Caenorhabditis elegans: one gene and its partner. The protein of the gene in region 2 interacts with the protein of the main gene of each other region in a biochemical or structural test. Each region holds a gene or a part of one and is shown on either strand. Other genes may lie near its edges.

Region 1 (4,929 bases), on a different chromosome or scaffold from region 2:
CCTCATTGCTCGGTGGATACATTCTTGCTCCATTCATCTCCTTTCTCATTCCTCCTGTTGGAGCTGCTATTTTCAGTGGACTTGTTGCACCATTGGCTATCTACTATCAGCTGAGCACGGTACTCTATCCGGAATAACTTTGTAAACAATATAATATTCAGGGTTACGGCCCTCTAAATGGATTCCGGCTTTTGGTTATTGCAACAACTGTACAGGGAGTTCTCACTGGATCCGCATTGTCACACGTCTTGATTTCGGCTGAACCATTCGTTGCCCTTTCTACTATTGCATCCTCGTTCATTATTGCAGTGATGAACCCGACTTGTAAGTTGCTTGCGTTAGAAAATACAAAAAAAGTAATTTTAGCTCGGGCATCTTCACTCTCAACCACTGTGGCCACCTCAATTCTGATTCACTCCACACTTGGAGCTGTTGAAGGAGCATTGACACCTGTTTATTTTGTACTGACTGGATTCTACACTCTTGCCGCTTTGATTCCCATTCAATTGGCTAGTCGTGATCAGAGCCGTGCAAATGTGAACTTGTATTCTGCCATTCTCGTTGGTCTCACCATCTCTGCAAAGTGCTTGGTTTACGGTGTTCTTGGAGCATATGACGTGCCAATCTCTGCTTCCGAAGAGCAATTTGGATTGGAAGGAAATGCTGAGATTAATGTGAACGCATAAGAAAAATGAATGAAATTTGATAAATATGTACAGTGTGCTAGGGGGCTTCATTTTGAAAGAAAATAAAAATGATCAAAAGAATGAAAGTCATGGTACAGTAAATGCGTGGTTGGGAATGGCGAAAGTGATTTAGAGAGTTAAAGATCCTCAGTGACTGAGTAGTTTGTTTGACAACTATTAGATAGATGACCTAGGCATAAGGCGTGAGTTAAAAAAAAAACCCTTCAGTCTTGGAAGCGTATTGCAATGAAGCCACATTGCTTAGAGACCAAGAAGGGACTGATTTAAAAGAATGGGTTGGTAGAAGAGGAACCAGTCGAAACGGAGACCTGCAAAGTGTGACTCAAAATAGAAAAAGAAACGAGAAACGGAAAATAAGTTAAGAAAAAGATGGGATGAAAATTAACAAAGTTTAAACAGAATGATAAATAAAAGTAATGGGAGAGAGGGTGCTATTATTCGGCGTCGTCAGAAATCGATGAGAAGTCAAGAATTCCACAAGGAATCTGATGACCCCCTTCCCCGAGTGGGAGATGTTCTCCTGCTGGTGTGGTTGACGATGATTCTGACGGGCGATCTGGGAAATCCGGTGTGATCACCTGGAGCCCAAGTTGAACAATGCGCTCTTCAGCTAGGTTGACTATGGAAGACGCATTTGAAGCATTTGAACTTATATTGCGCTGATAGATAAGAGCTGCATCTAAATCATTCTGCAAAATGAAAAAATTATACTGAAATTTTTAATGACAGTATTTACCTCCGATTCCGTGCTTTGAATATCGAACGCAGAAACCCATTTGGGTCGTCTCTCATCATCCAAACCATAAAGAATATTCTCCATGCTGCTTGTCTTGCTTCCAGTAGAGGTTAAAGCACTAGACGACCTTGATAACATCTAAAATTAGTAAAGTTGAATTGAAGACGATTTTAAACTAACGTTCAAAGAAGAATTATTTCTTCGAATTACACTACGAGTACATCTTTTCTTCTTTTCCTCGCGATGACTGGTTTCTCCATTAGGTTTCAACGAAGCCATTGAATGATGCCGTTCGAGACGAGCCGATTTAAATTCCATCGAAAATGAACTGTGTGTCATTGGAATGTAAGAACATGGCTCACATATCTGACGACATTCAGCAGTACTCCACAACGATTTATAGCCATAGTCCAACAAATACATTTCCGGATATTCGACATGTGGATAACGAAGTTCATTCAACACGCGGTCAATAGAACGTACAGCATGAGCCCTAAAAATCAGATATTTTATAAAATAAATAAAGAAATACCACCGACATTGTTGGCCCCCGTTTCTGACTGTATTCGCAATAGAAGATCGGAACACGATTTTGAAAAGAACTGGCTTCGCCGTTTTCTGGGAAAAATATTGGCTTGATCTTGTCATGACGAAACAAATTGATAGCTCCTTTCACATGACCACCCTTGTACTCAAATGGAAAACGACAGTCGACTATAATGTATTTCTTATCGAAATCATCTCCAAGACGTTGAAATTCCAAGAGTAAAGTAGTAGGTGAGATACTCCGGAATGCTTGTGACTCTCTCTGTGGATTATCAACACCGGGAAGAGTGTACTTCTAAAAAGTAATTTTCTGGATAACTTCAAAAAATAATCGAAAAAGTATACCACTTCTAACGTTGGAGGAAGTTCAGAATCAATCTCACCAACGCTCATCGCACGCAAAATTTGTTTTGGTCTCTCCTGGAAAGATCCGTTGCCTGACGTATCGGAAGTTTTTCGTTCAAAAAACATCGGCGGTGCCAAATCCCATAACGAAGTTGCTGTTCGTGGGGCAGGTTGAGCGAAAATTGATGTATTCTGAACTTGAGAGTTTCTGACGTTGCTCTGCTCAAAGACCTCATCGTCTTCATCACCGAATGGATCATCCCTCGGGTTATTGAGACCATTATAGCGACAAGATTTGTCACTCTGTGGAGCAACAAGAGACAAATTCCGGCTTCTCTTGCGATCCAGGAGCGTGACGCTGGGAGACATTGAACTGGAAGTTCTTTTCCGATGATTATCCGTTGGTCTCTCGCTCATAACTCTTTTCTCATATTCTGAGTGATCGAGAGAATCCAAATCAAACACCGTCTTCATCTTACGCCCTGTTGGTGTATCATAGTTGTAGCTGAAAATTGTTTTTTTTTGGAAGTCGCATGATGGGAATATACAAAGAAGAGCTGCGTGATGAGCTGACAGACGAGTTTCGTTGTAAAATTGAAACGAAATTGGAACAGTCTGTGAGGGCTACACGACCAGATTCCAGTTTGCTAAAATCCACATCTTCCTCGGGTGATGCATCTGATTTGTCGCTACAGCTAGTCATTGAGACACCTGAATAAGAAACAAATATTAATTAAGCCTTCCATTTACATGACAAACCAGAATCGCGGGAGCTGCCATCTTCTTCAAATAAGGTTTTCGGTGATTCGTTGATACCGTTTGCCACATCAACCACATTCTCGATGATATTTACATTATTTTGATCCTCATATATTGCTTTTTCCCCGGTGGTAGCCATCAGAGATGCACAGCCCTCAACTAAAAATTATAGGAGATACCAACATTTGAATTTAGAAGTAAAATTATTTGGCCAGAAACGCGGAGAGAGATTGACCACACGAAGAGACGCAGCCTATGTTACAAAAGAGGAAAAAGGACCGTGATTGACAACAAAGGAATGAATAAGAGCTTAATTTTTCCTAATCGAAAAAGAATTTAGACTCTTCGAAAATTTAGAAAAAAATTGGGCAAAAGATTCTTATTTAGTTGAAATTTAATCAAAAGAAGGATATAATTTGTGATTTGAAATTTTGGCGCTCTAGCGCCCAGTTTTCGTTTGATCTATTCATTAAGAAATTTTATTTTGGTATTTAGAAACTGCTCATAAAAAAAACGCAATCATCATCTTGAAATCAGCAAACCCAATTTCTGTATTCATCATGTTCTGTTGCACTGTTATACCATTTTTTTTTCAGTTTCCCATCATTCCGGGTATCAGATTTCAGAGCTCCCATGAACAAGCCACTTTTTAGACATGCTGGACGGCAATGTGTCTAGAAATCATTTACAGACGAACTTAGTTGACATTCAATCAAATTTTCAATAAAAAATTATGGAAATAAATTTGTTGATTGTAAATTTTGGGAGAATGGAGAGCTGCTTCCGTCAGTGAAATTAGGCCAAAGCCGCCCAACTACAGTAACCTCCCATAAAGCGTATTTGCCTCACCCCGTATTTTTGCGTAAAAGTGTTTCCAAAGTTTGAATTTTTTTCAATTTTAATTCGCGTTTTCAATGACACTCCGATATAACGGTACCGCGTGTTGTTTGTCGTAAATCATATGTTTTTTTTGAGTTGAATTCATTCAAAATGATGAATCATCCTTTAATTTATTCATAATTTTAGCCTTAAAACTTTAATTTGGTTTGTTGAAGCCTTCAGATTGTTATTTTAAATTGAATTAATAAATTTAAATGCATATTCTAATAGAATTTCTCATAATATACGAGACCCTAAGTGTTTTAGTTTTTTGTCAGTTTGTGTTTGTACGAGAACTCATACCTTTCTCTTTATACCGTTCCTTTCTTGTTGCTCGTAGCACTTTTTCTATTTATCACAATGATTGCCTTGAAATGCATCGTTTACGATTGTAACATTCTTTCTATTTTTCCGCTCCATATTTCTATATTATGTCTTCAAACCAGCTCTTGTTAGCTGTTATCCTGACCACAACCACCTTTTGGCGTTCTTGGATAATCATGAAAATTGTCAGTTTTTGAACGTGTAACCACTCTTGAATTACAGCTTTCATAACACTATTGTTTTGGTTTTTCAGAATGCCAAGCTCCAGCGAGACACTGCAACTTTTTCCTCACGAGGGACGAGGCAAAAAGGTTTCTAGGCCATGGTCGAGTCCCCGACAAATTTCAGCGGCCATTTATGTTGCTTTGTTTTCCGCGTGTTTTCTTTTGTTTTGCACCATTTTTTCCCGTTTTTCTTATTAAAACTAATAAATAAATATTTTTTGCAGATGCTAAAACAATTTCCAAGTGAAAAATTGTGTATTGAGTCGGTAAGTAGCGGTGAAAGTGGTCAATGTAATATGATGGATTACGGAAATACAAAACCTAAACTTTCCCAAACATGATACATATGCTGCTTAGATGCTGAAACTACCTGATTTTCATAACGAGACCGCTGAAAAAGTTTTGAGGT
Region 2 (5,753 bases):
TTCTAACCTCTCCGGAAATTGATAAGAACTCAAAGGTGTGTGCCAAATTGAACTTTTTTTGCCACACTTCGGGTTCAAACTTACCGCTTTTTTGCTTTTGCAGAGGAGAAATATTAGTTTTGGCATTAAAATGTGACACCACCCATCTGCCAAACACTTGATCTGCCAAACACTTGAGCTGTCACATTTTTGATCGAATTGCAATTGAAATATGGAAAATTCCGTAAACTTTCTTGTGAAATATCTAATCGATATGTTGTCATTTAACTGTCGCATGACTTGATTTTGCATGCTTATCGATTATAACTTTTGACTTTTTTCTACTACAAAACTGGGATTCAGTGGAAGGTTAATTATTTTCTCATTATCACTCTTGTCACATGACTAAATAAATAGTGTGATAAGAATGGGGACGTAGAGATGTAATAGAAGAAAGTTGCAGAAATGCTCAAATCGGTTCTGCAAAGTTGTCAGTGACAATGACGTAGGAAAGACAGGAAGTGACAGAAGAATGATAATGAGAAACTCTAATTTAGAAAAAAAGATGGAATGGCAGATTGTGGAGTAGCAAAACCCAAATTTGTTTATATCATTTCGAACTATACAGAACACAATTTTCCGAGCGAATAAAAGAAATTTGGAATTGGAGGCAATGGAAGGGGAGAAAAATTAGGAACGAAAACGATTATTTGAAACAGATTTGTGTGAAGCGATTGAAAATGTGCGGGTGAGGAAAGCGGGGGATAGAAGCATTTAGAATCGTCGCCGTAGAAGAAAAACCGTTGAGAAATGGGAAGAGGGATGAAAAACAAAATAAAATGGTGAGAGTGGATGAATGGGCACCCGCAAAGCATGCGACTTTGAAAATTGAAGTATTAAAAAAATAGTTTCAGAAAAACCAGGACTCGAATGCGGTTACAAAAACAAGAAAGAAAGGGGTTGTGCGTGCGATATTCCAATATGTCGATTGAGAAAAGATGAATAGAATGCAGAGACACACACACACACTATTATCACATGAAATCAGATCAGTTAATAGTGAGAGGAAAAGTTGGGAAGGGGATGCAAAAGGATACTGTACAAAGGAATTTCAACTTTCTTTTTTGGAAAATGACAAGGAAGATTACAGAGGGTTTGGTTGATTTCTGCACCGGTTGAAGATCAGTAAAAATTCAAAAAAAAATGGGAAGGAGTGTAGATTTTATGGGCCACCATCTGGCATCTCTTCGTCTACGTCGCCTCCGCCCAGGTGATCCATATTATTTTGTTGTCGGCGCATATTGTCAAAAGCAGCCATTTCTTGCTGAAACTTGTCAATCTTTAGTCTCATCATTCAATTTTCAATTTTACCATAAGTCTGACAGGCAATTCTGGTCTTGGTTGCCTCCTTCTATGATTCTGATTGTGTGGTTGCGGTGGCGCTGGTCCAGCCACGTTCGGATTATTAACCTGATCAACTCTGTCCAGATCTTCCTCTGATGACGATTCATCATTGTCCCCGGCACCTCTAGCAGCTTCCGCCGCTGCTGCAGCTGCTGCAATATCGGCATTGTGTCGACGAGCAGCATTGGCACGTGGCCTCAGTGCAGGTTCTTCCACAACTTCTCTATCTCGTCGCTCAATTTCTCGTCGAGCAGCCATTTCAAAAAGCATTTGAGCTCGAGCGACAGCAGCTTGGTTTGGAAGTTCTGGGAGGGTGGCCTAGAAAAATAAATATGAATCACGGAAAAGAAACTGACTACAAATTTGCAAGCACTTTTTTTTCTTCAAAGTGTATTTGCGAATTTTGAAGACTATCAAATGTACTGCCATTTCTCAATTAACAGATTTGATCCAGATGTTGTACTTACTCTGTTTGTTGAAGACGGAAGCCCACTGGGTGGAGCGTCCAAAAAGTCCCAAATGAGAATAGTGTCATCATGTGAAGAGGAAACAATTTGGAAATCATCAAACTGCAGGCGGAACACTCTGCCAGTATGTTGAACTAATGAGCAGAGGCATATTTCCGAAGATAATGCACGAGGATCTAGAGCAGCTTGAAGATCCCATACTTTAATCTTTCCGTCGTATGCTCCGGAGACAATTCGTTTTTCGTCAAATCGAATGCATCGCACGAGCTCTTCATGGCCTTCAAGAACACGTAGGCATACACCAGAATGAATATCCCATAGTCGAATCGTGTTATCACTGGATCCAGAAACAACGAGCCGTCCACGATATTGAAGACATGCAATTCCTCGTCGATGGCCAGCCAATGTTCGAACAAACTCGAGTGTATCCATTGACCAGACCTGAATATTGAAAAAAATTAATATTTTCAGAACCGCAAGAATAGTAAACGAGACTCAAACGATAAGTACACCTTTAAATTAAAAAAAAAGCTTCTTAATAACTGGAAAAGCAGTTTTTTAATTTCAAATTCTCACCTTAATAGTTCGGTCTCCACTTGCACTGACTATATATCTATCATCAAAATCAACGACATTTACAGCTGCTCTATGACCAACAAGAACTCTTCGAATTGTGATATCGCGTGGCGAAACCATATCCCAGACAGCAATCGATCTATCTTTTGAGCATGTTACCATTATTCCATTAGCAAATCGAAGATGAAGAACAGCTTCACAATGATGAATTAACGTTTTAATGCACTCTCCAGTTTCGACATCCCAGACACGTACTGTGGCATCAGAAGATCCAGAAATTATTACACGATTGTCATATTGAAGGCATAAAACGGAACCAGTATGTCCAGAAAGAATTCGACTGCAGCTGTAGTCTTTTCTATCCCAAATCTAAAAATATCAGAGTTATTTTGAAATCAAAATAATATCATTCTGACTTTAATAGTGTTGTCCCTCAAACCAGATACAATTTTGTCATCGTCATATTGAAGGCAATATACTCCTTTGCTATTTTCTGATTGACAATTTATTCGAGTCATTTTGTAGTTTCCACGTTTCCAGTTGTTGTCAATGTTATGAATATCTCGAATGATTTTTGGATATAATTTACTGTAGAAGACATGCATTAAAATGAGCTGATCAAGCTTATCCCGTTTAATATTCACATCGTAGTTGAATTTTTCACAGATTCGTCGCACTGACATGTCTCGACTGATATTCAGGAATTTGTCCCTGAAATCAAGTATTTTATTCCTATTTTCTGATAAACTAAATCATCAACTAACCATTGTCTTTTTTCAGAAAGTCCCCACCACAGGGAATCACTTCGAACATTCTTTTCAATCAATTTCTTCCAATGTTGACCACGGGCGAGTGCACATCGCCAGCTTGTGCTCACTTCTTCGCAAGATTTTAATGAATCCGAGTTTACATTAAACAGAATTAATTCGACAAGATGTGCTGAAATAAAATAGAATTAGATTAGTTTAATACTGAACAGACAAAAATTTTACCTGGTAAATTACTAATGAAATCTCTCTGGAGCATGGGCCTGATAAAGTTGTCGACTTTTCCCAACTGATAATGTGATAATCGATGAACAATTTTGTCCATAAAATCGAGCTGTTCGTGTTCACTCCATTTTAATACTTCCTGAAAAAGGTGATGATAGTTGAAGAAAGATTTGGGAAAAATCAAAAAAAAAAAAAAAAAAAAAATCAAAACGACATTATGATGGCGCTAGAATGACGGGAAATCTCGTTTTCCTTACCTCGATCAGGCCTTCGTGCCCTTGAAGGTAGTCAATAGAAAGCGGTTTGCCCTCATCGTGTTCACCTTCCGTCAACGATAAGTCCGCCAGCTGCTGAGTTGTTGAAGCTCGGTGCGGTGAAGACATTTAATGTCCTGAATTAAATGGATATTATTGAGTGTTGATTGATTAGAAGATAAAAATATGTCGATATTTAGAGAACAATGTTTTTGTGTAAAAATCAATTTAAAGTCGGAAAGATCTCATATAATCAGGTGAGTTAATCAGTATCATCGAAATTTAAAGGAAATTAAAGGGAAAATGTTCCGAAGATGAAATTGTATCAACGTTGCAATGAATTTTTTGTTTCGAGAATTCTCTTGATTTCGTAATCTTTTACAGAATCAGTGAACTGGTTAATCCAAATAGAAAAATAAATTGTTATAGGAATATCTGAATTTCAGCTGAAAATAGCAAATAAAACATCTGGGAGTTTGAATTTAACAACACAATATTTGAAGATTGACATTTAAAAAACTTATTAAATAATATGTATTGCAAATGAAAAGGTAACGCACATTTTGGTGTTTATCGTCAAATTTGTGTTTATAATTTCAACTTATTTTAAAAAATAAATCAAGAATCTTTTATATGTCTCGATAGAGAATCAAAATAGTGATTTTAATCAAAGATTTCAGGGCATTTCAGAAAATCGATAAAATAGCATTTAAACTGGCAAATTTTTCGATGAGCATAATAACTATTTAGTCATGACTTTTTTTTAGTTTTTCAATCATAAATTTGCTCTTTTCTCCATTTGGGAGAAACATATTTAACGTTTTTATGATGCGGTTGGGCATTAAACGAGAACAAACGTTCGGAAATTGAAAATATCTCAGGTTTTCCTGAAAATACACAACTAACGGAAAACGATGAAAACGAACGACTATACGAAAGGAAGATTTGAGTGTTACGAGAAGGAAACAAAAAAGAAAAGACAGAAAAGAAGGTAGAAAAGAGAAAGAAAATCGGATTAGAGACAGCGGTGAAGCACCTTTCAATAGTGGAGACGCAGACAGTTAGAGCTTGAATCGACCCGCCGTCTCGTGCACGCCCTCTTTGCTTTAGGGCGCGCTTGCCTTCTCTAAATCTCCGCATTTTATGTGATGTCTAGCCCAATCCAACTGGATTCTGTTCACCTTTAAAACTAGCGAAAAGCGGAGAAAGCAAGAGAAAACAGTGTGGGAAAGGGTATTTCTCGTACTTTTTCTGCACCCCGTGCACTCTAATACTACCTCCCTCTGTCTGCTGATCACATTTTCAGCTCGACTTTTGATTTTCAGACCCGAAATTCGAGATATTATTACACATTTAGATTGACATATCTCTCGTTCTTTTTCAACCTACCTTCTTTTCCGTCTGTTTTGTGTTCGTTTGAAAAATCTTGTTTTCGTTGGTCTAGCGGTTTTTATTTCAGGATTTCAGACGCAAGTAAATACATCAGAAAGAGGACAGTGAGAGTACTGTAAACTTTAAAGGCGCACACCTTTTTGTGCAACATCTGCTTCAAAGTTTTTTGTTCGTGGCAAGACCTATTGTGCTTCAGAAATCGGATAAATTCGAAACCACTTATAATAAAAATTTGCAAAACGTATCCCATAAACATAATTTATTCTATTACATGTATATTACACTTTCAAGGAATTCACAATTCTGAAAAAATTGTTTTTAGTATAGAATCTGAAACTTTCTAAGTTTTGTACTAAATTTGAAATATCCAAACTTTTAAATTAGCTGATACCATACATTGAAATTTGAGAATTACACTTAAACGTAATACCACATAATTTCTGTCAACTTCTGTTGCAAGACAAAAGACATTAGGATGTTGAACAGGTTCATTGAAAAATCATTATACCCTTTATTTCTTCGATGGGTGCTTCTATTGGTTAAATAAAAACACGAATGATGGCTAGGTTCGTGGTATTTATTATTCATTAGACTCATCTGAAATTCAAATATATCTATCTGCCAAAAACAGAATATCCAGTTATCATTGGTGCATACTAAAGGTCAACATTAGTACAATTGGCAAGGAA

The links.
Region 1: of the proteins of lin-23 (region 2) and cdc-25.1, one has a biochemical effect on the other in vitro, tested with the Caenorhabditis elegans proteins (one study listed by BioGRID).

What each region holds. Positions count from the first base shown.
Region 1 is NC_003279.8:6,468,671-6,473,599, forward strand, and holds cdc-25.1 (M-phase inducer phosphatase cdc-25.1), read right to left. Parts: upstream 3,253-4,929; 5' UTR 3,233-3,252; coding exon 3,094-3,232; intron 3,046-3,093; coding exon 2,883-3,045; intron 2,840-2,882; coding exon 2,335-2,839; intron 2,285-2,334; coding exon 1,983-2,284; intron 1,937-1,982; coding exon 1,624-1,936; intron 1,582-1,623; coding exon 1,444-1,581; intron 1,397-1,443; coding exon 1,142-1,396; 3' UTR 716-1,141; downstream 1-715. Other genes in the region: K06A5.2 (DUF389 domain membrane protein), read left to right, coding at 1-119, 162-324, 367-686; uad-2 (Chromo domain-containing protein), read left to right, coding at 4,551-4,607.
Region 2 is NC_003280.10:6,369,361-6,375,113, reverse strand, and holds lin-23 (F-box domain-containing protein), read right to left. Parts: upstream 3,812-5,753; 5' UTR 3,802-3,811; coding exon 3,676-3,801; intron 3,558-3,675; coding exon 3,419-3,557; intron 3,366-3,418; coding exon 3,191-3,365; intron 3,138-3,190; coding exon 2,843-3,137; intron 2,796-2,842; coding exon 2,427-2,795; intron 2,292-2,426; coding exon 1,851-2,291; intron 1,702-1,850; coding exon 1,351-1,701; intron 1,310-1,350; coding exon 1,202-1,309; 3' UTR 564-1,201; downstream 1-563. UniProt on the Caenorhabditis elegans protein: Functions cell autonomously to negatively regulate cell cycle progression. Required to restrain cell proliferation in response to developmental cues. Probably recognizes and binds to some proteins and promotes their ubiquitination and degradation.